Cricetulus griseus: one gene and its partners. The protein of the gene in region 1 purifies or fractionates together with the protein of each later gene. This does not show direct contact. Links are inferred from orthologs where the notes say so. Each region holds a gene or a part of one and is shown on either strand. Other genes may lie near its edges.

Region 1 (5,386 bases):
TTGTGGCTAGCCTAGGATACACAGTAAGCTCCAAGCTAGCCTGAGCTACAGAAACTCTGTTTCACCAAAGTGGGGAGAAGCTGAGCACAGTCCTTTTTGTTGACCAGGGTCCTCAGTCTAGGCCCTTTTGGCATTTTTAGTAGACTGACACTGTTGGGAACTGTCTGTGCATTGCAGGGTCATTAGCAGCCTCCCTGATCATTGCCCACTTGATGCCAAAAATACTCTTTGCTTCCTCTTCTGACAACCAAAAATGTTTCCAGGTATTTCCAAAGATCAACTGAGCACAAAACCGCCACCATCCGAGAGCTACTCTTGTAAATACACAAGGCAGATTGGACAAGGGACAGGCAGACGTATGGGGTGATAGGAGATGCTATTGTTTATATGTTTCTCTTATTGGTTGATGAATAAAACATTGATTGGCCAGGCAGGAAAATAGGTGGGGCTAGGAGACAAATTCTGGAAAGTGTAGGAGGCCAGAGTCAAGATGCTGCCAGAGGAGTGACACCATGCTGGTCATTACTGGGTAAGCCACAGCCTTGTGGCAAGACACGGATTGATAGAAATGGGTTAATAATTAAGACAGAGCTATCTGATAAGAAGCCCTAGTCTGGGCTGGAGAGATGGCTCAGGGGTTAAGAGCACTCTGTTCTTCCAGAGGTCCAGAGTTCAATTCCCAGCAACCACATGGTGGCTCACAACCATCCATTATGAGATCTGGTGCCTTCTTCTGGCATGCACTGTATACATGATAAATAAATAAATCTTAAAAAAAAAAAAAAAGAAGCCCTGGTCATCGGCCAACAGTTTCATAATTAATATAAGTCTTGTGTGTTCATTTGGGGCTCAAGGGCCACGGGACCAGCCAGGGCAGAAAGCTCACATGACAACGGGGTTTACCTCCATTCCATCCATGGCCATCGTGGCAAGGTAGTTAGGGTCCTGCTTGTTCCAGCAGAGGCGAAGCAGTGGGTGATGCTGAGGGTCTTCGTAAATGATGGTGCTGTGCTCCAGATGACGGAGGTCAAACATCCTCACAGAGCCATCCGCACCCACAGAGGCGAACATGTCCCTGCCACCTCCAGCTCGGCTGAACGCAATATCATAGACCTATTGGTAAGAAATGTCCAGTTCACATCAGCCACCTTTTCCCACAGGATGGAAACCTGTTACTTCCAGTTCACATGAACCCCAACTCATGACAGAACAGAATAGCAGGAAAAGTTAGTGGCTTCTCAGAGAATCAAGATCATTTTTTTTTTTTTTTTTTTTTTGGTTTTTTGAGACAGGGTTTCTCTGTGGCTTTGGAGGCTGTCTTGGAACTAGCTCTTGTAGACCAGGCTGGTCTTGAACTCACAGAGATCCGCCTGCCTCTGCCTCCGAGTGCTGGGATTAAAGGTGTGTGCCACCACCGCCTGGCGAGAATAAAGATCACTTTATCACAGGTGCTGGCCGACTTCTTCCCATGCCTGGCTTCTACTCTCTCTCTTAAAACCTGGTGATAAATAAAGCAAAAACTCCCCACCCAGCTGACTGGCAGAGAATACCTTAGTCTGAACAAAGACCCAGTGTTCCAAGCCTAAGGCAGTTATTTTCTGGGCTTTAGTGGTTTCACTTACATGCAATCAGATGCAGGTTCATGACAAACCACATCATGATTCTCTGCCGAGCTGGGTCCGCTATAAGCCTGAGACCTGAGATCCTTTTGTAAGAAAAAGGTAATCACGACTTCTGTTTCTGTGTTTTTTAAAAGGGCATCTGAGAGCTGGAGAGACGGCTTGGTAGTTAAGAGTACTTGTTGCTCTTGCAGAAGATCCAGGTTCAGCTAAGAGTAATCTGTAACCCTAGTTTTCCGGAGGATCTGACACTCCCTTCTGGCCTTCGTACTGTGCACACATGTGGTGCAAGGACATACATGTAGGCAAAACACCCATATACATTAAATCTTGAAAAGACTTGCAGACACCTCTGTTCACCTTTTGGATGAGTGCCTTACGAGTCTAGTGGTGATGAACAGTTCGTACCTGGGAAGTGAAAGTACTGCTCCATCTTTACCTCCTAAAGGCTAGAGTTATAGGCACCCAGGGTCCCCTTTTAATCACTCTTTTCTTTCCTGTTGTTTTAAGACAGGGTCTCATGTAGCCCAGGTTAGCACTAAACTTGCTATGTAGCAGAAGATGACCCAGGACTCTTGATCTTCCTGCATCTACCACTCAAGTGATAGGAGTGCAGACATGGGTCCTTATGAACCATAGAGAAGTATTTCTTCATAGTTAGAGAAAAGGGGGTTTAGAAATAGATAGGCATCTATTAGCAGTGTTTGCTCCTCAGTATCCAGAGTGTCTAGAGGACCTACTTTTTTTTTGTTTTTAAAGATTTTTATTTTATCTGTATGAGTGTTTTGACTGTTTGTACGTATGTACCCTACATGAGTAGCCAGTACCTGTGGATGCCAGACAGACACCCTGAAACTAGAGATACAGATGGTTATGGACTGCATGTGGGTGCTGGAATTGAATCTGGGTTCTCCAAAAGAGCAGTGGGTGCTCTTAACCACTGAGCCATCTTTCCAGCTCCAGACCCAATATTTTTTTGTAAGAAATTCTTTTTATTCCTCCACCTCGATGTCAGCTGTCATTACTAGCCAAGATCCTATTAAGAGTGTGCTTTGTGTTTGACATCTGTTTTCCTGTTGGTTCTGGGTAATTCCCCCACCAGTGTGGCTCAGAGCACAAAGCTCTCTCAGCTTAAGTATCTGCTCCTTTGTCCGTGCCCCACCTGTTCAGCTCATCCGGAAAGAGAGAAGTGGCCACTCCCAATGTATTAAACCCTCCTCTGGCTACATCTGCCAGGCATCCATTTACACCCCCCCCCCCCGCCCGGCTTTCCCTAAGGCAGAGCTGCCACTGCAGGCTGCAGGCTCCTTCTTTCTAGTTTGTCACTTGCTCTGATTCATTCCAGGCCCTCCTGTTCTTCTCTGTATTGAATGAGACCTGTTTCCTATAGGCCAGGTTTGGCTGAGTCCCAGGTTTGCTGGCTGTTTCTGGATAGTTCAGCCAAAGGAATCCAAAGTGGGAAACTGTGTCACAAGCAGCAGCTGAGTACTTACCCTTCCTCTCTCTGTTCAGAAGCATCTCTGCCAGGTAAACCCAGACTCTGGGAGTCATAGCCTTCAGCCTATAGGTAGTGGGCATCCCCTGCTACTACCTTCTCAATTCCTTCACGTATAAGCATTCTCTTGGTTTAAACCACTTAGGTTTATTCTTGCAAGACCCCTGTTCTCAGAACGGGGGTTGAAACCAGGGCCTCATGGATGGTAGGCAAGCACTCAATCACCAAGCTATATTCTCAGACACTTGGAGTAGTTCACACTTTTGGGTTGGCTCTAGCAGAGCCAAATTCCTTTATCTACAGATCCTACTCTTGGAGTGCAACACCAAAGATTAACTACTTAGAATGGTAACCTGGCACCACTCTGTTGATGACCTTAAAGCATCTTTTTTCTTATACAAATCCTGATACCACTTGCTGTGCAGGTAAAGGGGCATAAAATGAAACAAGAGAAGGTCAGAGGTTCTGTGGGAGCAGAGTTTTGCCTATTTCCCCAAACCACCAGAGGGTACCCCATCAGAAGAAACAACATCAACAAGGTACATTTGCCTCCAAATAGGACTGAAAGTAAAAAGATCAAGTAAACATACCAGAGTTCACAGAACGGTTTTAGAGAAAAACAGTTAATTAGGATTGTCTGTCATGAAATTCCCCCTTCCGTTTCCCACTATCTCTAAGAAGCTATCATGTTTAGAGAGAAGTGTTACTCTTTCTTTCTTTTTTTTTTTTTTTTTTTTGGTTTTTCGAGACAGGGTTTCTCTGTGTAGCTTTGGAGCCTATCCTGGCACTCACTCTGGAGACCAGGCTGGCCTCAAACTCACAGAGATCCGCCTGCCTCTGCCTCCCGAGTGCTGGGATTAAAGGCTTGTGGCCACCAACGCCCGGCTGAGAAGTGTTACTCTAAAATTATTCTTTAACCATATCAGTTTCTAGGATGTATATAAGAGACTTCATTAAAAAACAAACAAACAAACAAAAAAACCAGCAACCTCTGGCCCCGTCCCTACCAATCCCAGAACTGCTGTCATGGGTGGTGGTGTGTGTGGTGTGTGTGTGCGTGTGTGTGTGTGTGTGTGTGGGGAGCTAGCCTCACTGGCTCTGGCCACCACATGGCTCTCCCCAGATGATGGCTTTTGGCGGTGGATGCAGGGGGGCTGGCTGGTAGGAATTTAACCACATTCCAGTGAATACATGGACAACACAAAATAGACTTGTTCTTTTAATTGTTTGGGGGGTGGGGTCAGTAGAAGGGGATGGACATGGGAAGACTAGGAAGTGAGTTCAATCAAGGCGCATGATGTGAGATTCTGAAATAATCAATTAAAAAAAGTACCCCCAGCAACCTCTAGTATGAAAGGAAAATGAAGATTGTAGGTTAGTTTTGTTTAACGATGCATTTGGACCGGTGAGGTAGGTCAGCCACAGGTTAAAAGCACTTGCTCTGCAAACTTGACAACCTGAGCTCAGTCCTGGAAACCCACAGCAGAAGAGGGCAGCTGACTCCAACTGAGCTCAGTCCTGGGAACTCACAGCAGAAGGGGGCAGCTGACTCCAAAAGTTGTTCTCTGTTCTCCACACACGCACCGCGGTACACATATGCCTGCACATGCATACACACTTTCTCTCTCTCAGAATAATTGTCATAAATAAAACATTTTAAAAGGTGCATTCAGCTGGGTGTTGGTGGCACACGCCTTTAATCCCAGCACTCGGGAGGCAGAGGCAGGCAGATCTCTGTGAGTTTGAGACCAGCCTGGTCTACAAGAGCTAGTTCCAGGACAGCCTCCAAAGCCATGGAGAAACCCTGTCTTGAAAAACCAAAGTAAAATAAAATAAAAACATAACAAACAAAAAAATAAAAATAAAAGGTACATTCATTTATAAGTGTTGTTTTCTGTTTTAACACATTAGCTTTCAACTTAGTCAAGGCACATGCCAACACTGTGAACTACGTAACCTGCAGAACAGTGAGAGAACAGGACAGCCTCTCACCTGCAGGTACAGAAAGCACCTGCAAAAAAAGGAGGCAAGGGAAAGCATCATTACCTCTTTGTCATGGGCAATTAGCTGGGTCTTCACATGGCCAGACACGAGATTCACTCGTCCCAGCACCTGCCCGGTCTCTAGTCCCCAGATGGTGCAGGTTGTGTCAATGCTTGAGGTACCTGCAGACACCGGAGCAAGTCAGAGCTGATGAGGTGAGGTTCCATGAAGACTCCCCTCTCACTCTGATCCCTATGCTTGGCCCAGGGGACAACAGGCCACAGCACTT
Region 2 (5,996 bases), on another chromosome or scaffold:
AGCTACTAATGTTGTCTGGTCTGATGACTTTGGGACTAGTCTGCTTTGGAGGGATCCATCAAGGGTCCCCGGGCCCTGCCCCTATCACCAGGGGAGGATGGGGGTCACAGTCCCAACTAGGGAGAGAAAAAATAATGACGATAAAGTACTTCATAAAATATAGAGAGCAATTTTGTGCCAGCAGGGGCTTTTAAGACGTTTGGCGGGATGTGCCAGGTCCCCATCAGCTGGCAATCTGACTGCCCAGCGAGGTGTGGGTCCCTGAAGGGTCAGGAAGGCAGAATGGATGACAGGCTCTGTTGGAGGCCTTTGGGACCACTGCAGGGGTGAATCCTGCCGGTCGCACCTGGACTCTTCAAGCTGAGCACCCTGGACGATCAAAGCTGTGATTTGATTTGAGGGGTCAGGGCCTAGAACCAAGTGCTCACATGGGAAAGGAGGGTTGCTGGGGAGGGCCACACAGCAGCGTTCTGATTCAACAAAGCTCAAGACCTCCAGCCACCAAGGTTCCCCTCGACCCCCCAAAAATTGTTACAATATTTTTGTACAAAGGAAAAAAATAATTAAAACCTCACATGGAGAGAAACAAGAGGGGTGGAAGGAAAGGGGAAGAAATGCAGTTTTAACAGTTGAGAGTCATGCAAGAGACTGCCCAAAATGGGAAAACTAAAAGTGTAGAACCCCAACTCTCCCTTCATTCCTTAAAAGCAAACCAGTCAAAAAACCAAAAAATCCCTTAAAACATATACCTAAGAAAAAGAAAATAAAAAAGGAAGGGAGAGGGAAGGGGATCATGTCGTTATCTGGGTGGTTAATATTATTATTTGGGGAGACAGACTTTTTGCATACCATTGACTCATGTGGGCCATTAATGCACTTATATTCCCAGCTTGTAAGCTAACATTATAGTAAATAAATACACAGTCCGATGGGGAGGGGCTGGGCTGTATCCTGGTAGGGGTAAGCAGTAGTGGAGGTTGCAGCGTCGAGGGCAGTGGGACATGAGAGGAAGGGGTGGGTGAGGAAGGGCTGGGAGGGGCCAGAGCTGTAGTTACTGGTATCCGAGCGCCGAGGCGGAGGCTAGTCTCTGTCCATACAGCGCATATGGCGAGTAGTAGGGTCCGGCTGTGGGGAGGGATGGCACTGCCAGCCCCCCAGCTGTAGATAAGTGGCTCTTGCCATAGGGGTGGTATCGGCTTAACCCCAAAGTGTGTGGACTCCGCAATGACAGCGATCCAGGGCTGCCTGGGGCGGCGGGCGGGGGGAGATGCAGATGGCAAGAGGCTGCGGCTGCCGCCGCTGCTGCGGCGCTGCCCAAGCTCGAGGCCCCGGGGTAGGCGGCCAGAAGTTTCTCTGCGCCGGGCAGGGCTGTGTGAGTCCGTAGATGGCTGAGAAGCTCCTCGGAAGTGGCAAAGCGCTTGTCGCAGGGCCCGCTGGCCGCCACCCAGTTGCAGCTGTGTGGCAGCGGTTCGTTCTGCAGCATGAAGCCATAGGTGTAGAGAGGATGGCCCGGAAGGGCGGCCTGGGCAGCGCTGGAGGAGAGCGCAGCGGGTTGCAAGGGGTGCCCGGGGTACACCAGCGGGTAGCCACTGGCCTTAAGGCTGGGCCCGGTGGGATCGTGCGCGCTGCAAGTGGAGCAGCTAGAGCCGCCGAGGTGCGAGGCGCTGTGGTAGCCTCCCAGGCAGTAGGGGTCACGGCATAATCCCTGCAGGAAGGAGGGCGGGGAGGCCCCCGTGAGCGGGCTGGAGCTGGGGGGCTTGCCGGGTGGCAGGCCCAGGCCCCCGGACAGCTGGCCTCCCACTAAGCCAGACTTGCTAGGATCCAAGCCAGGCACGAACTGAGACGGGTAGCCGGCGTAGGCGCCCACGATGGAGCCGTGGTAACCGATGCTGGAGGGCGGTAGCGGGAACACCGAGTGGCCTGGTTTGTAGGGTGACACTGGAGCCACGTGGCCGGCCCCCACCAGAGCAGAGGGCGGCTCCGACTTGCGCCCTGATGCCGCGGCTTCCGGGCCACCGTGAGCCGAGTCCCCACTGCTGCCTCGGCTCCCAGTGGCTGGCTCCGGACTGGGTTTGGCTTCCTGGTCTTTCTTGTCCAGGTCCCCGCCGCCGGCTCCGCCACTGTTCTTGCAGTCTGAGTGGTGCGGGGAACCTCCTCGGGAGCCTCCCGGTGAAGACGAGTTTGACGAGGTGGAGACAGGCGCTCCATGCGGGGGAAAGGGAGGGCAGGCGGCGCTGGGGACCCTGAAGCCCGCTTTGTCTCCGGGGGACGAGGAGGACGAAGAGGAGGTGGAGGACACTGACGAGGAGCCGCTGTCTTTGCGAGAGTCGCCGCCGCTGGAGCCCTTGGAGTAGGGCTTGAAGCTGGACTTGTCCTCCGAGGGGGAGTCCCCCAGCTGCTTGAGCGCGGTGGCCGCGGAGGCGGTGCCGGGGGCGGAGCGGCCCGGGTCTTTCTCGGATCCCAGCCCGTTGGCCGCTGCGGCTACTGAGTTGAGCTTGGACGAGGGCGGCGGGTCAGGTTTGCCGATCTGCGAGCAGGTCTGGGCTAGTAGTGCCAACGGACTCTTCTTGGCGTCCAGCTGCGGGAGACAGTGGCAAAGGGGAGGGAGAAGGGGTGAGATTAGGGGACCCAGTAAACCCGCAGGGACGCAAAGCAGGTCACTGGCGGCGCGACGGGGGCCTAGCGAAGAGGGTCACTGAGAAGGAGGCCTGGCTCCGGCGGAGCAGCAGGGCGGTATGGCACTTGCGTTAGTCCCTGACTGTGTCATGGGCGCTGGCGCACAGGAGAAACGGTTCAACGCCCGCCCTCCTGGTTAAAGGTGACTTCTCTGGAGTCGGGGCGGTGATTCGCCCCTTTCCATCTAATCCTCCTTCTCTTCTTGGCCCGGGGTAAAACTTAAGCCTTTAGTTTGGGAGAACTTCGTTTGGGACGGGTTTCTGATGATGGCGCTCGGGGCAGGAGCAGGGAGAGGCTCCTTCTAAAGGCAGAGCTGCAGTTGGCCCTATGAGTAGCCCCTCCCTCTTTCCTCTCCCTCCCTCTCGGGGAGAACACCAAGAGAAGTGGGATGAAGAAAGACCCGGGGTCGCGAGTGCTTGGGTTTTCTGCAGTGTGCCCCAACAGGCCTGGGAAAATGCGGGGGAACCCGGGCGGCTTCCAAGAGAACAGGTCGGGGTGGAGGCGAGAGAGGCCCAGGAGCCATCTCTGGACAGGACACAGGGGGCCAGAGGAAAAGTAAAGGACTCTGGGCACCACAGGAGTAAATCCAGTTCGACAGAAAACACGCAGCTCCGAAGGGCGAGTGAGAAAAACCCTTCCACCCGGGAGTCTAGGGAGAACCTGGAGGGGTCTGATTCCTGCCTTTCGCCCTTCTTCATAAGGTCCGCCAGCGTGGCCAGTCTCGAGAGTCGCGTCGCACTGAGCTACGGGGGTGGGGAGAGTGGGTAAGGGAGCAGAGGGCCATGGGCCCGGCATGGGTGGCAGAATGGGTTCGGTTCTGGGTGGGCAGCGCCCGGAGACTGACCTCGATGGGGCTGACGGGAGTGGAGGACAGCGGCTGCAGGTACTCCGGATGCAGGAGGTGACCGGTGTGAGCGCTCAGCATCTTCAGGACCCTGATAGGAAGCCGGTTCGCCTGGCGCAGGGGGTCCGCCGGGGGCAGGAGGGACACCACCGCCGGCACCGCCGGCCTCTTCCCGCCGCCGCCGCTGCCGCTGCCGCCGCTGCCGCTGCTTTCGGGTGTCCTTGGGTTAGATCCAGCGGGCGAATCGCTCATTTGGAGGAGGCAGCGCCACTGGGGGGGCGGGGAGGGAGGGGAAGCTCCGGGAGGCGAGCTCCCGGGGCGGGTGGGCTCGCTCCGCTGCGTCGAACGCCGTGCAGCAGTCGCTGCGCCTGGATGCCACCTCCCCTCCTCCACCGCCGCCGCTGCCGCCGCCGCCGCCGCCGCTAGCCCAGGCGAGCAACACAAAAACCTTCGCCTTCCGCGAGCTGCACGTCAAATAGCCGCGATCTGCAGCCACACTTCAAAGGGATCGCCGCGCCCGCCCAATCGCAGCTCTCTCCCGGACCCCGGGGCGGGGAGAGCGGCGGGCGGAGGCGGGCGCCGCCGGTGGGCGGGGAGAGTCTTAAAGGGCCCTCGCCCCCCTTGCCGCCTCCCAGCCTTCGCTGCGCACTGGGACTGCTCTCTCTTTCCGGGTTCTGCCGGGCTGCCCTCGCCACCGGGTCATACAAGGGATGGGACTTCTGGACGCAGGCTCTGCGCCCTCCCTTGCTCTGGCTCTTCTGATGTCCGCTGCTTCCCACTAGCGTGTGTGTGTGTGTGTGTGTGTGTGTGTGTGTGTGTGTGTGTGTGTGTGTGTGCTGGCGGGGGCTGTCGCCAGTGTCTAGGGTGGGAACGACGGTGGGAGCTCACAGAGCCTGCTCTGGTCCTAGGATCCAAGCTTCTCCTGGAGGCCGCCTGGGGGCGGGCCATTGCCTAGGGAGCCGGGCCCCTTCTCCAAGCTGCTTCGGCCAGTTCTCTTTCCCCTAATTGGCCTCTCCCGGATGTGTTCACTTGGAAGCGTCGGAGCCTCAGGGGCATCCACTATTCCCTGGGCGCTGGGTGAGCGGTTCCAACTACTTTGGGCTTGTCCAGTCAGCCTGCAAGTTTGAAGGACTCCCTTCCTGGTGAGATGGTCTAGATGAAGCACAGTACCCGGGATAGGGCGCGCCCCCTCGGAGCGCCGCCTTGAAGCTCCTGGAACGCCCCGGGGGCACACTGAATTATAGATCGTGTTTACGTGTGTTTCAGGATTCTTGTCCTGTTTAAAGCAGTAAAGCTTCCTCACTGTGCTGTGACTAGCTGTTATTTGGGTGAGGGGTAGCATCACTGAAGAAGCCGTGTGTCCTAGCGGAGGGTGTCTTAGCACAGCACAACTCCAGAGATTGCTTCACTGGTTTTCCCCCAGGGAAATTTCGAAATAAAACCTTTTTATTAACAATAACAGTACCCTCTCTCATCCCCCCTCCCCCGCCCTAGACTTCCGGAAAAAGTATGTATTCACACAGAGATTTAACATAGTCACGGACCTGACCTTAAAGTTGAGAGCCTCGGGCTCAATCAGGTGACACTGGTCCTTTGTGTCCTAGCTCTGGAGTGACCCCTTCTGCTTGCCCTCGGCGGCCAGTAGAGGCGCGCTGGTGTCACCATTCCTTTTGAGTACCACTTTCCCAGTCCTGATTTGTTCCTCGGATCATCAAGGTCTGTCTGTCTTTGTAGTAGCCCCAAGACTACCTGGTTCCAACTCTGTGGTGCTGATCCAGTCTTTTCTCTGACTCTGGTACCAATGACTCAAGACAACGTGAGAACCCAAGACTGGGGCAGGCGACTTCAAAGGGATCTTCAAAGTGAGAGAGCCATCACACCCTTTTCATACTCTGGAGAGAATAGACCACACTAGTCATATACTAAACTCAAGCACTCCCTGACTCCACACTGTTTGGTGACTAGAGTGTATAGATTTCTTAGAAATTACTCAACTGTCCCCTCCCTCATCCTTAATTCTTATAAAATTAGTTGAAAACCAATGGCCTGTGTTGTCCTGACTCTGATGATATCTTCATTATTGCAGCAAGAGGGTCATAGGAATGGAGGGGAGGAGGACGATCTCATTTATTTTATGGTGTCACGGTTTCCTTCTCACCCCCATTAGCTCTGCTCACACCAGTCTTTGCATTCTGACCTCATGGTCACTGCCAGCATTTATCTATCTTTAAAATTCTACTCCAGGCTGGGGCTGGTGGCTCATGCTTGCAAACCCAGCACTCAGGAAGCTAGGCAGGAGGATCATGTCACGAGTTTGAGGCCACCCTGGCCTACCTAGTGAATTCCAGACCGGCTTGTGCTACAGAGTGAGACCCTATCTCAAAACAAAGTCCACTGCAGGGCTACTTCAGTCCTTTGGCCTTTGGGAGAAAAGAGCAGGAGAAAGGCAGACTGTAGAAGGGATATTCTTCAAGGG
Region 3 (5,885 bases), on another chromosome or scaffold:
AATTAAATGCCTGTATCACAATGCCCACCCTCATCACAAATATTACAGCCTATTAAGAGGTATACTAAGGGGCTGGAGAGATGGCTCAGAGGTTAAGAGCACTGACTGCTCTTCCAGGGGTCCTGAGTTCAATTCCCAGCAACCACATGGTGGCTCACAACCATCTACAACAACCATCTACAATTCAATTTGGTGCCCTCTTCTGGCAGGTAGGCAGAACACTGTATGTGTAACAAACCAACAAACAAATAAATAAAAGATGTATACTATGAAAAATACACAGATAGACAAAACTAAACCAACAAACAACAATGCTGACCCTTACGTACCCTGAGATCCCACCACACAGTTCAGTGCATAGCCATTGATCAGCATGCTTTCTACCTGACTTCTTCCATGGGCTTTCAGAATATTAACAGAATTGACTGGATATCGAGGCTGGCCTCTCAGATCTGTGTATTTGACAGCAAGTACAGCATCTACCACCATATTAGCAAAGAAATCACCATTTCTGAGACAACAGTTAAGGACAGCAATAGTCTTGGAATAAAAGACCCAAAGACACAAAAAGCAATTCAACTAGACTTTCTTTTAGCAAGACAATTCACCAATGGAAGACAGTAAGTAGTACTACTATAGTCAGGGTGACTTCCCTCTATGCAGCACCATCTGCACTCCAAACCACCCTCTCACCACAGCAAGGCTGGGGTGGCAGCAGCAGTTTCAGTCACTTTTCTCTAACAAGATCAAGTTGCATTAGATAAGAATTATAAATTTTATTGCATAAAATTGACATTCTATAAAAGCCTAGTCTAATTTTTAAGAGTGAAAGGGGGTTAGGGTCAAATTTCACTGAACATTTAAGGATACATTCCAATAATTTTGGAAGACATGGATGTCTTAGCGGCATTAATCAGACAGTCTCTTCCAAGTTCGTCTGTGTTAATAATTAGGTTCTCACTGATATAGCGCACTGCTTCCCTGGGAAAGGAACGGCAAAGAAAAATATAAAAACATCACTCAGAGGTTTTGCGTTTCACCACATCCAACACGCTGTGAAATATCGGGCGATGGTTTTATGTTCAGCCATTTCATATAGGGGGGAAGACACTGAAAAGCCCTCCCCCTTCAGATCATGGCACCTTTCATCTATCCCATAAGCATAGCCACTATAATCTACTGGGAGAAAACGTGGTAGTCAACTGGGAAAACAGAGGTACACTGGGCTGAATATTTCAATACTACCACCCAAATGCTAAGACAGAACATTGCCAACTAATGATTAATCACAACATTAAGACAGACTACAACCATTACAGGAAATAACATTTTCTTTCAATATAATCTTACTTGCAGGCAAGCCGATAGCCACTAATAACTGATGTTGGATGAATTTTCTGTTTGACTAGTTCATCTGCATTTTTCAGAAGCTCCGCTGCAATAATTACCTGTTGATTAAACACTGCTTTAAGTTTTCATGTCATTCAATATGCACAATGCATACAGGAAAACATCAAAATTATCTAATATTGTTATTTTTATCTTATTTACTTATTTGTTCAAGACAGGGTTTCCTTGTGTAGCCCTGGCTATCCTGAAACTCAGAGATCCACCTTCCACTGTCTCCCAACTGCTGGAATTAAAGGCATGCACCACAATGTCCAGCTATGACCTAGCATTACTAACCAGCCACAGCAGACAAGTAGCAGCTTGCTGAAAACATAAAATGGAGAACACCACAAAGTAGTCTGTGCAAATGGTCCAAGCTACAAACACCAGAAATTTCTACTCTGAATTCCCAAATTTCCTGTCTATGGTTAAAATCCAAAACTATCCATTAGTTTTGAACAACAAAGAAGCCGAAACCTGGTAACATTTTCTTTAAATGAGAAACTCTTTTCTACATGTAAACATTATCATGGCAAGGGGGTTGAAAATAAGCATCCAAATTCCCAGTATTTAAAATAAGCTTATATTCAACTACCTTATATGATTTTTCTCCTACTCAAACTGCACAAAGTAGGTGCAATGATTAGTTTTCAAATGTTTATGAGACCATAAACACCTGACATATCTAGAGTAAAGGATTCTTTCATGGGTTCAACTCTAATAAACGGGCTTATTCTCTAGCCACTCCCAGGTAGTGCCTCACCACAGAGGTAGTTCCATCTCCCACTTCTTTGTCTTGCAAGTCAGCCAGCTCACAAAGAACTTTAGCTGCAGGGTGTTCTACCTCCAGTAACTTCAGGATGGTGGCCCCATCGTTGGTAATGGTTACATCCTGAGAAATATGAAGGAAGTGGGTCAACACAGAAACCAAGCTCCACGAGGCAAGGCCACCAAGAACAGTGAGATATACTTACACCAATGTCATCCACCAACATTTTATCCAAGCCAACTGGCCCCAGAGAACTTTTCACAATGTTGGCAATGGAAGCTGCAGCCATAACTGAAGATAGAACAATGGGCGAAAAATTAGAACAATTCACAAGCTAAGAGACACCAAGCCAACTATGATTTTCTTAAACCTACCAATCTGCAATAATTACGATTTTTGGGGAATTAAAAAAATAAAAACACACCTATTTAAGGACTAGTGACTCCAAAGCAATACCGAGAAACCCTGTCTTGAAAAACCAAAAAAAGGACTAGTGAAGGTTAACTATTTTTTTTTTCTTTTCAGAACAGGGTTTCTCTGTTTAACAGCCATGACTATCCTGGAACTAGGTCTGTAGCCCAGGTTGGCCTCGAACTCAGAGACCCACCTGCCTCTGCCTCCCAAGTGAGTGCTGGGATTAAAGGTGTGTGCCACCATGGCCGGGCTAGGTTAACTTTTTTGAGTACTGGAATGTCACAAAGAGGTCAATGCCTCAAAAAATAAGTAATCCCTTATGTGCATTGGTGTAAAGGTGTCAGATCTCCTGGAAATACAGTTAACAGACAGTTGTGAGGGGCTCTGTGGGTGCTGGGAATTGAACTCGGGTCTTCTGGAAGAGCAGCCAGTGTTTTTACTGGTGAGCTATCTCTCCAGCCAGCAAGAAAAATTTCAGGGTTAACATCTCAGCCTTTTCTTCAGACTCTAGCATGTTTTAATAAGAATAGTAGTCCATCTCGGTAGTAACTGTATTTCGGGGGGAGGGGGCACCTTAACAACAACAAAAAAGCACAATCACGATCGGAAAACGTTAAGTGCTTTAAAAAAAAAAAAACAGGTTCAACTACCAGCAAACACGTGTTATTTCGCCTATCGTTCAATTTGCAAACCGTTAAGTATTCCTGGGAGCAGCTATCAACTGAAAGACAACCGGCCGGAGGGAAGCCACGCAAAGACGACCACCTACATTCTGTGGGCATGTTCTCCTGGGCAAATGGAACGGGTGGAAACTACTCCTCTCTGGTCGTGTCCGGGATGTTCCAACCCGGTTAGAACCAGGACAAAGGGACCGTTGAGGCGTGGCGGGCGATCAGGTCTGGAGCTAGCCTTCCGGGGTAGCGCAGTCCCCACTCGGGGCGTGGACGCCCACACCCACCCTGGGCACCTCCCAAAACGGGCTTTCGCGTGCCGTGCTCCAACGTTCTTCCCAGGGCCGAAGGGCGCCATGGCGCCGGCTGGGCCCGCGGGTGAGGTCCGCACTGGGCCCGGGCCTCCACGGGGACTTCGCTGTGCCGAGGGGGAAGCCCCGGCCTAGCGACCGCAGTCGGGCCTCGGCCTGGGCCGCGGGCCTGGCGCAGGATTCTCGCGCCCTTACCATTCTGGGAGCGGATCGCCTCTCCAGTGCTGCGGTCCCCGAACACGGACAAAGGGCCCTCCATCGTTAGGGAACCTGGCTGGCCTCGCTAACACCGCGGACGGCCGGGATATCCGCTCAGAGGCCGGACTGCGGCCACCACAGCGGGGAACGCGGACGGCGTGGAGAGAGAGGCCCGAGCGACGCCGCACGGGATGCTGGGTACCAAGCCCCGCCCGCTTTCCAAGCTCCGCTAACCGCTAGGCCCGCTGGGAAAAAGAGGATGGGCGAGACTGAAGACGCCGGAACTGGAGGGGGGGTGGGTCTACAATTTATTTATCCAATTAGAGGCTGGACGAGAAAGGCGCGGAAGTGAGGAACCGAAGTTGGGCCGCGGGAGGAGTGGGGCGGCGCTCGTGCGTTCTCGCGCCTTCTAGAGAAGCTGATAGGGTTGTGGTGGGAGGCGGGCTACGGACCCTAGCTCCCAGGTACGGCTGGGAGCTCGCGCGCCTTTCATCTCTGAGCTCCGGTCATAGTTAGGAGTCAGGGAGCATTCGGAGAGTCAGCTGAGACTCCGTCCAGGCTCAGCGAGGTTTGGGGTCTGCAGCTGGGCGACCACTGCCTGGGGTCACGCATGCCGCAGGGACGGACTTCCGAGAAAAGAGCTACGCGAGCGTGCCCCGCCCCCCGCCTCGACGTCAGCGGTGGTTGGCGAAGCGGAGATACCGATCGCTTATTCGGCCACTCAGTACAAGGGAGCTTGTTGTTCCGGGTCCCGGAGTGACCGACGACCTGCTGGCATCTGTAGCTTTTCCCCCAGTTAACATGGCTGCCGCTAGTCGTTCTCCCTGACGACCGTGAGCAAAGCAAGGCCGGGTACTGGGAGGCTTTGCCTACGTCCCATCGGCGATGGCGCTTCAGCCGCGGGTCTGGAAATGGCTGTCAGTTTGCGGGAAGCTGGGTAATTAATCTCGCCCCGCGTCGTTGCCTGCTCGCTGTGCACAGTATATGGGAATTTGCAAATCCAATTTTGCACCCGAGGTTCCGCTTGCGGAAGCGAACGCACTAGCCGCTCCCGGGGTGACCGTGGGACGTTATGGGTCGGTGGTGATAACCTTGGTCAGACGGCCATTTCTACCCGCTTCTGGGCCTTGTGATGGGAATGGTTAGAGCACGCCCCTCTGGCGCCCGTATTAGTCGTTTTAAACATCCACGTGGTCGTTTTCATTTCCTAGAGTGTGGGTTCGCAGCCCGCTCGACCAGTTCCTCGCCAGCGATTCAGCCCGAAGTGGAGACTAAGGAAAACGAAGCTGTGGCCCCAGTGTTCACCAACCGGAACCCTCGGAATCTGGAGCTCTTAGGGGTAGCCAGGAAAGAACGGGGCTGGGCTACAGTGTGGCCCAACCGTGAGTTCTGGCACAGGTAATTAATTTGTGACTGACCCTGCCAGATAAGCCCAAGGTTAAATTGGGAAGAAAACTTTAAAGTTAATTTGAGAATAAGAGATTATGTATTGTTCCCTCTCTGAAGAGGTGACATGTCAAAAAGCCGACATCTAAACCGGTGGTGGTGGTTTACACCTTTAATCCCAGCACTCCCGAGACAGTCAGGCGGATTTCTGTGAGTTCAAGACCAGCCTGGTTACAAGCGCTAGTTCCAGGACAGGCTCCAAAACTACACAGAGAAATCCTGTCTCCAAAACAAAATCCCTGTCTTAAAACAACAAAGCTGAGCCCTAAAGGATAAGAAGACCACCATCTGACATGAAGGACATTCTAGTAGAGGAGGCTGCTAGGCTGGGGTTGATTAGCTCCTCTGAGAAGCCCACAGGCCTGCGTACCTGGAGTTCAGTAAGTAAAGGGCTGAGTGACGTTTGGTGGAAATAGAGTAGTAAGTACAATTAGGTTATTACCTTGCAGATTAAGATAAATAATGGAGAGTAAAGTTTGGGCCTTAATTTTTAAGGCGGGGAATAAAAGGAAGGCCAATTAAAAGTCTTTTAAGAAAAATGAGATTATTTATTTATTTATTATTTATTTATTTGTGGAGGCTGGAGCAGTAGTTCATTAGTTAAAAGCACTTACTGAGTTTGCACAGGACCCAGGTTCGGTTCCCAGCACCCACAACTGGCTGTAACTCCAGTCTGTAACCACAGAC
Region 4 (5,861 bases), on another chromosome or scaffold:
GAGAAACAAGTGATTAAAAGCAGAAGGCCCAACACAAAAAAAAGAAAAAAAAATCTTAATATAAATTAGTTTCAAAATGAGGATGGTTTTTGTAATTATGAATGTTTTCAACAAACAGAGTAGAAGGAACCACTTCCATATTGTTCCTCTACTACCATGTCTCATATTTCCTGTTAATAAACATGATTTTAACCTTTTCTTCTGAATCACATGTGGTATACAACTGTATCTTTTGGGTCTCTATTACATTCTATTGAAGCGAATCCTTCCCTAGAATCCACGTGCAAACTATAGCGCAGACCAATAAGGATAACAAAAGGTTATCATACAGAATATACAATAGGTCTGTTTTGGTTCACGTGCTTATCAGAGTTATATTGTTCTCATCACAAATACTACTACTTCCTTAGGTTTTATAATAAACAATTTACAGTCCATAAAATTTTCAGCTCTTTATGGTTAGAGAGATGGCTCTGTAGTTAAGAGCACTTGTTTCTAGTACCTATATGGTAGTTCACAACCATCTCTAACTCTAGTTCCAGGGATCCAATGCCATCCTCAGACCTCCTTAAGCACCAAGCATACATGGTGCTCACACACACATGCAGGCAAAACACTCCTATACATAAAATAAAAACATCTTTTAACAAATTATTTCCAGCCAGGTGGTGGTGGTACATGAGTTTAATCGCAAAACTTGGGAGGCAGAGGCAGGCAGATCTCTGTGAGTTCGACACCAGCCTGATCTACAGAGCAAGTTCCAGGACAGGCTCCAAAGCTACAGAGAAACCCTGTCTCAAAAAAATAATAAAAATAAAATAAAATTTATTTTCAGTTGTTTTTGTTTTAAGTACTGAAACATTTACCAACTCGCCTTGCTTTTTGAACATATTATGTTCCTCACTGCATCAGGAATCACTGTTCTTAGAATGTCTTAATTTCTCAACTATGTGAGCAGACATGTAATCTACTAAATGCAGGGATACTCTACAGCCTCCTAACACCCTGGTTGTACTGACTCTCCTTACATATATTTCAGAAATGAGTATATCTGACATGCACATTCGTCCCTGCTGCAAAGTCAGAAACACTCTGTTCACTTGGAATTTTTATTTTCCTTCCTTTGAAAGGATTTGGAAAGGAACTGGAATAACACTGTAGAAGGGAAATGCTCATGGCCCAGAAGACAGGTAAAACTAGGCAGCCTGCCTTCAGTCATTCACATCAACACTTGCAGCAGCCAAGCCTTTAAAAGATGTGGCCTATCTACTTTTTATATCAGCTGCTCTCCACACACAGCAAGACTCAGTGGGTGAAGAAGGTCTCAGGCAATTTATGAGCTCTGCTTTCTATTTTCAGTCTATTTGTACTTAGAATCTGTATAAGCCAGAAAGGTACGAACTGCAGTCCTTCAAATGCAAACAACCTGCTCAGAAAGGTGTAACAGCAGCCTAAGGACTACAAACACTCAAATGCAAACCTTCAAGCACACTTAGTCCAGGCCACATTTGTACAGTACATTCAGAATGGGAGTTCTGGCGGATACCACACTTAAGAAAAGGTGGAGTAGGCGAAATAGTTTTGAGATTGGTCTTAGCCAGTAGTTCAAGAAAACTGAGCCCTGGGTGACAAAAGCACCCCAGCAATCTCACCCACTCCACCCACTCACACACACTTATATATACAGAGACAAAGAGAAGTGGATTGCAATGCTCCTTGTCTCTCATTTTCATAGTTCTCATAAAAAGCAGTAAGAATATCCTGATGCCTTAAGGTAGATTATATTTAGCAATTAGGATGTGAAGAAGCCTGCTTCCCTGGAAACCTTCCAATCCTCACTACTTGCAATACCCAGTTCTTAAAATTCAGTAATGTAAGGGTTAAAACCAGAACCTCAGTAAAAGAGAAGTAGGTTCAGCTCCACCCTCTATAAAGCAAATTATCAACAACTCTGGGCCAAATCCACTCAGCGAACACAAAACTGTGCCAAAAAAACAGGTGGAAAGAAGTTGAGGTTCCTGGGATTTCTCACCTAACCACACACACCAGTAGATTTCACCAATTTTATGAGACACGGTATTAGAAAAAATAAAAAAGCACACATGAAACTTTAAAAAGAAACAGTAATAAGAGGTCACTACAAATCAGCAAAAATAGCCAGTATGGACGAAGGTCAAACAGTATCCATGGTAACAAAATCAAAACAAAAAGACACGGAAATAGAATACAGGCCCTAAAACTTACATTTTGGAAGGAAAGTTCTCAAACTGGAGGGTCAATTCCTACCTTTAAAGAAAGAACCTAAGGATATATTGCTGTGGTCACCTAGGATCCTATTTCTACAAAGGTATTTGCCAGATCAAACAGTTACTGACACCCTGTATGTCACTAGAAAGGACAGAACAGGAGCACCTGGTCTTGCCAGAAATAGGAAGAGATGAGTCAGTCACTCTTTTAATTCAACCCTCCAGGTCACAAAACATATTCTTCCCACTTCCATCACTTCATCAGTTTAATTCCCAAACTCGGGGACTTGGATCAGAATGCTGGGGGTGGGGGTGCGTGAAAGAAAGCAAGAGTTAAGAAGAATTCAAGCCATTTAGCTTCAGAGATTACTGGTGCTACCTGGAAGAGCAAACTAAGTATCTAGTTATTAACTGGCAACAACTGAGCAGAAACTCCCTTTTTGACTGCTCAGTATCTTTCAAAGTTTTTACAGGAAGAAGCAAAGTAGCTCCCTGGAGACAGAAGAGGATTTAGTTAGGAAAGGCAACAGGTAGTAAAATACCGCGTTACATGAACCTCGAAAGTCCCAATAACCGGCACCTAAGGAAAGATACATACTCTCCTACAGATAGGAAAGGGGATGTCAGGAACCTAGAGACACAGAAGATGGCCAAAGGCGAGTTAAGGAGATGGTTGTTATTTTTTAAAAGTATAAAAAGCAAATTACTCACAAACTTATTGGACTTGAAGTCTAACTCGTTCAAGAGGGAGATTAATCATCATCTCGGGTCATGAAGGGCATAGTATCGTGAAAAAAAGTTCTAAACCTCTGAAGTGATAAGCAACAGGGCAGTAAGAAACAGGTTTGTGGATAGGGAAATACTGGGAAGTCATATACTGCCATGCCCCAGTGACCACAGGACCTGGGCAGAACCCGTAATCACAAGGACAAACGTCCAAAGGAGGAGGGAAGACAGGACTCAAGTCAGGTAACATTCCTGCGGGGAAGCATTACCAGGTGACACCGGGCTGAGAGCCCTGGAAGGGGACAGGGCGGGAGGAAAGTTAGCAGGTGAAAGGGATCACTAGTAAGGAAGGAAATGACCTTTTAGAAGAAAGGGAATAACCCAAACGGGGTGTGAGTGAGAAGAGAAAATGGACCCAAAACAGCTTACAGGGAATCAAAAAGAAAAAAAAAAAAAGAAAAGAAATTTAGAGAAAAAAAAAAAGATGTGTGGGGGTACTAGAGGCAGAAGAAAGGAAGTGAGGCTGCGAGCCCGCGGGCCACGGGGGCGGGAGCGCAGAGCCGGCGGACTCCAGAGCGAGGGAAGCTCCAAGGTGGCCGAGGCGAGGGCCAGGTGGGACTCCCGGGCTTCCCGAGGTCCGGGAGGAGGAGAATGTGGGACCGCGAAGCCCAGGATTCAGCGAAACCAGGAAGAGAGGCGCGGGGGCGGCTCCCCAGCGGCAGGCAGACGCCCCCGGAGGGCAGCGAGGGTCGCCCGAGTTCAGAGGGCGGCCACCCCGCCAGGCTGAGGAGCAGGGTGGGAGGGACACTCACAAATTTCTTGGGTTTGCCGCCGTCGCCGCCCGTCGCGGGCAGCTCATCCGGGCTCCGACCCTTCTTCTTGTCCCGGGTCCCGCGGCCGGGCCCCAGGCCCCCGCCGGACGGCTCCATGTTCTGGTTAGCTCCGGCCAGGGACCCCTGGTCTACGCCACTCGCGCCCGGCTAGCCCGAGCCAGCAACCACCGCCGCCGCCCAGCAGCCTTCTTAGCCGGCCGCCGCGCCCCGCCTCATTAACATGCTGGGCTGCGCGCGCCTCATGAATATACAACGGTGACGCCTCGCTCCCGCCCGCCTGCCCCACTTCCGCCCGGACCCGCAGCCCCTACCAATGGGGCAGGGGAGGGGGGTGGAGGGACGCCGCGGAAGCGCGCTACCTGCCCGGCGGGCCTAACCATTCGGACCCACGTGGAGGGGGGGACGGAGAGTGGGCGGTGCTGCTCTTCCACACCGCAGCGGGGAGTGCTGCCCCCTGGCGGTTGGAACAGAGGAAGCCTTTGGGCTCCCACGCAGAGCTAGACCACCTCACACCCCAGGCCGAATTTCATTGTCTGAACCAAGACTCTTATCGTAGGAACACTGTTATTTTGGTTGAAAATTTAAGGCTAAGTTTTGTGGGATAATGCAACTTGTATGTATATGACACCAAGCAGTAAGTGCATTAAAAAATAATGTAAAAAATGAGTTACTTGATATAGAAACTATGTGCCAAGAACTGAGTTCAAGCCAGCGCCAATCTAGACCAGCTATGGAGTTACAATACTCAGCATTGAATCCTAGATTAGCTTTCTAGTTGTTTATGTAGACAGACTAATTATTGCCAATAGCCTAAGCAGCAATTAAATAGTTACTACATACCCAGCACAAACTATAGGACAGGTTATATGTTAAACATAACATCTTTCCTCACTGATTCCTCACAATTTCATGATAGACTCTACTGGTATCACCATTTAAGAAATTTGCACTCTGGACATTGAAGTGACTTGTAACATAATTGATAGAAAATTTACACACAGATTAATCTGACAGCCACACCATATTTTTAACCAAGATTCCCCCACAGGCATAAACCAAACGTGCCTGCATGAGTTCTCTGGTTATGGTCTTTACATGATCTCTCTCATTCTCCTGGCTATATCTACCTGACATGGCATCTTTAGAGAGGGACTGACTACCCCTTAAGAGTAAAGAAAAGGATTTCAAGTGTATATTCCCGAGTGTTGGGCCCCAGCCCCCATGGGGTCTCTGTGAGTTGCTTGTCAGCCAATAACCACAGGTACATCCTGTTTTCTAGTCCTGGCCTTGCCCTACTGGCATCAACCACACCTGGGAAAACATGAGCTCTTACACCTTGGGTTCTTCCACTGTGCTGTACATCTGTATATAAGGCTGTTCCCTCCCTGTAATAAAGAGACACACACACACATTCTCTTAGCACAAACGACTAGACATCTTGTCTTTCATTTAAATCTCCAGGCTTTTGGCTGATAATTTGACTTGCTGGTGGTGCAGGAGCCACACCTAACGACAGGTTCAGTAACTTTTTGAAATCTCCAGATCTTAGATGTAATACCAGGGTCTCTACTAACTTTGCTGTCTCCTAAATACAGCCTTCACCTCCTCTATGTTTCCAACCTTCCCATGCTGGATTAGAAGTTGCACAGAGGTGTCCAGCTCTCCTGCAGGCTGTCCAGAAGAATTTCAATGCTACTTACTCCTAAACTAAAGTGAAAAAGATAGCATGAGGGGCCCATCTTGCACCACTGTCAACACCTACATTCACCATGCCCCTGATTGTAAAGTCTTCCAGAAAAGGGTCTGTGTTTGTAGTGCATACAGGATCCAGCACAGCTGAGCACTCAGTGTGCTTCTGTCAGGATATCTTTGCCACCTAACGTCCTCATCTCAAACACCATGCTCACATACCTAAAGCCATCTTTTATACCTTCTCAGGCCAGTAATCTGCCTAGGTTAATCTAACTCTTCAGCAGAAATGTTCTATTAATTCCCCATTTGAATAAAAGCATCCATGGAGAATGCACACACAGGGCCTAACATAAAGTACTGAACG

What was found.
Region 2: the proteins of Dcaf7 (region 1) and Znf703 purify together in Homo sapiens (co-immunoprecipitation; 5 studies listed by BioGRID and IntAct, counting the BioPlex papers as one, with this or other methods). This does not show direct contact. The link is inferred for Cricetulus griseus from reciprocal best matches to the Homo sapiens genes DCAF7 and ZNF703.
Region 3: the proteins of Dcaf7 (region 1) and Tcp1 purify together in Homo sapiens (affinity purification with mass spectrometry; 3 studies listed by BioGRID and IntAct, counting the BioPlex papers as one, with this or other methods). This does not show direct contact. The link is inferred for Cricetulus griseus from reciprocal best matches to the Homo sapiens genes DCAF7 and TCP1.
Region 4: the proteins of Dcaf7 (region 1) and Diaph1 purify together in Homo sapiens (affinity purification with mass spectrometry; 5 studies listed by BioGRID and IntAct, counting the BioPlex papers as one, with this or other methods). This does not show direct contact. The link is inferred for Cricetulus griseus from reciprocal best matches to the Homo sapiens genes DCAF7 and DIAPH1.

What each region holds. Positions count from the first base shown.
Region 1 is NC_048600.1:118,982,137-118,987,522, reverse strand, and holds part of Dcaf7 (DDB1- and CUL4-associated factor 7), read right to left. Parts: intron 5,280-5,386; coding exon 5,161-5,279; intron 1,114-5,160; coding exon 904-1,113; intron 1-903. UniProt on the Homo sapiens protein: Involved in craniofacial development. Acts upstream of the EDN1 pathway and is required for formation of the upper jaw equivalent, the palatoquadrate. The activity required for EDN1 pathway function differs between the first and second arches.
Region 2 is NW_023276807.1:56,854,334-56,860,329, forward strand, and holds the start of Znf703 (zinc finger protein 703), read right to left. Parts: upstream 3,902-5,996; 5' UTR 3,773-3,901; coding exon 3,521-3,772; coding exon of another isoform or gene 3,517-3,520; intron 2,870-3,516; coding exon of another isoform or gene 2,748-2,869; exon of another isoform or gene 2,592-2,747; intron 2,579-2,591; coding exon 1,052-2,578; 3' UTR 1-1,051. UniProt on the Homo sapiens protein: Transcriptional corepressor which does not bind directly to DNA and may regulate transcription through recruitment of histone deacetylases to gene promoters. Regulates cell adhesion, migration and proliferation.
Region 3 is NC_048595.1:288,142,804-288,148,688, forward strand, and holds the start of Tcp1 (T-complex protein 1 subunit alpha), read right to left. Parts: upstream 3,902-5,885; 5' UTR 3,814-3,901; coding exon 3,750-3,813; intron 2,450-3,749; coding exon 2,364-2,449; intron 2,282-2,363; coding exon 2,153-2,281; intron 1,449-2,152; coding exon 1,351-1,448; intron 1,211-1,350; exon of another isoform or gene 1,073-1,210; intron 982-1,072; coding exon 871-981; intron 512-870; coding exon 330-511; intron 1-329. Other genes in the region: Mrpl18 (39S ribosomal protein L18, mitochondrial), read left to right, coding at 4,638-4,689, 4,964-5,150. UniProt on the Homo sapiens protein: Component of the chaperonin-containing T-complex (TRiC), a molecular chaperone complex that assists the folding of actin, tubulin and other proteins upon ATP hydrolysis.
Region 4 is NC_048595.1:199,706,363-199,712,223, reverse strand, and holds the start of Diaph1 (protein diaphanous homolog 1), read right to left. Parts: upstream 3,902-5,861; coding exon 3,785-3,901; intron 1-3,784. UniProt on the Homo sapiens protein: Actin nucleation and elongation factor required for the assembly of F-actin structures, such as actin cables and stress fibers. Binds to the barbed end of the actin filament and slows down actin polymerization and depolymerization.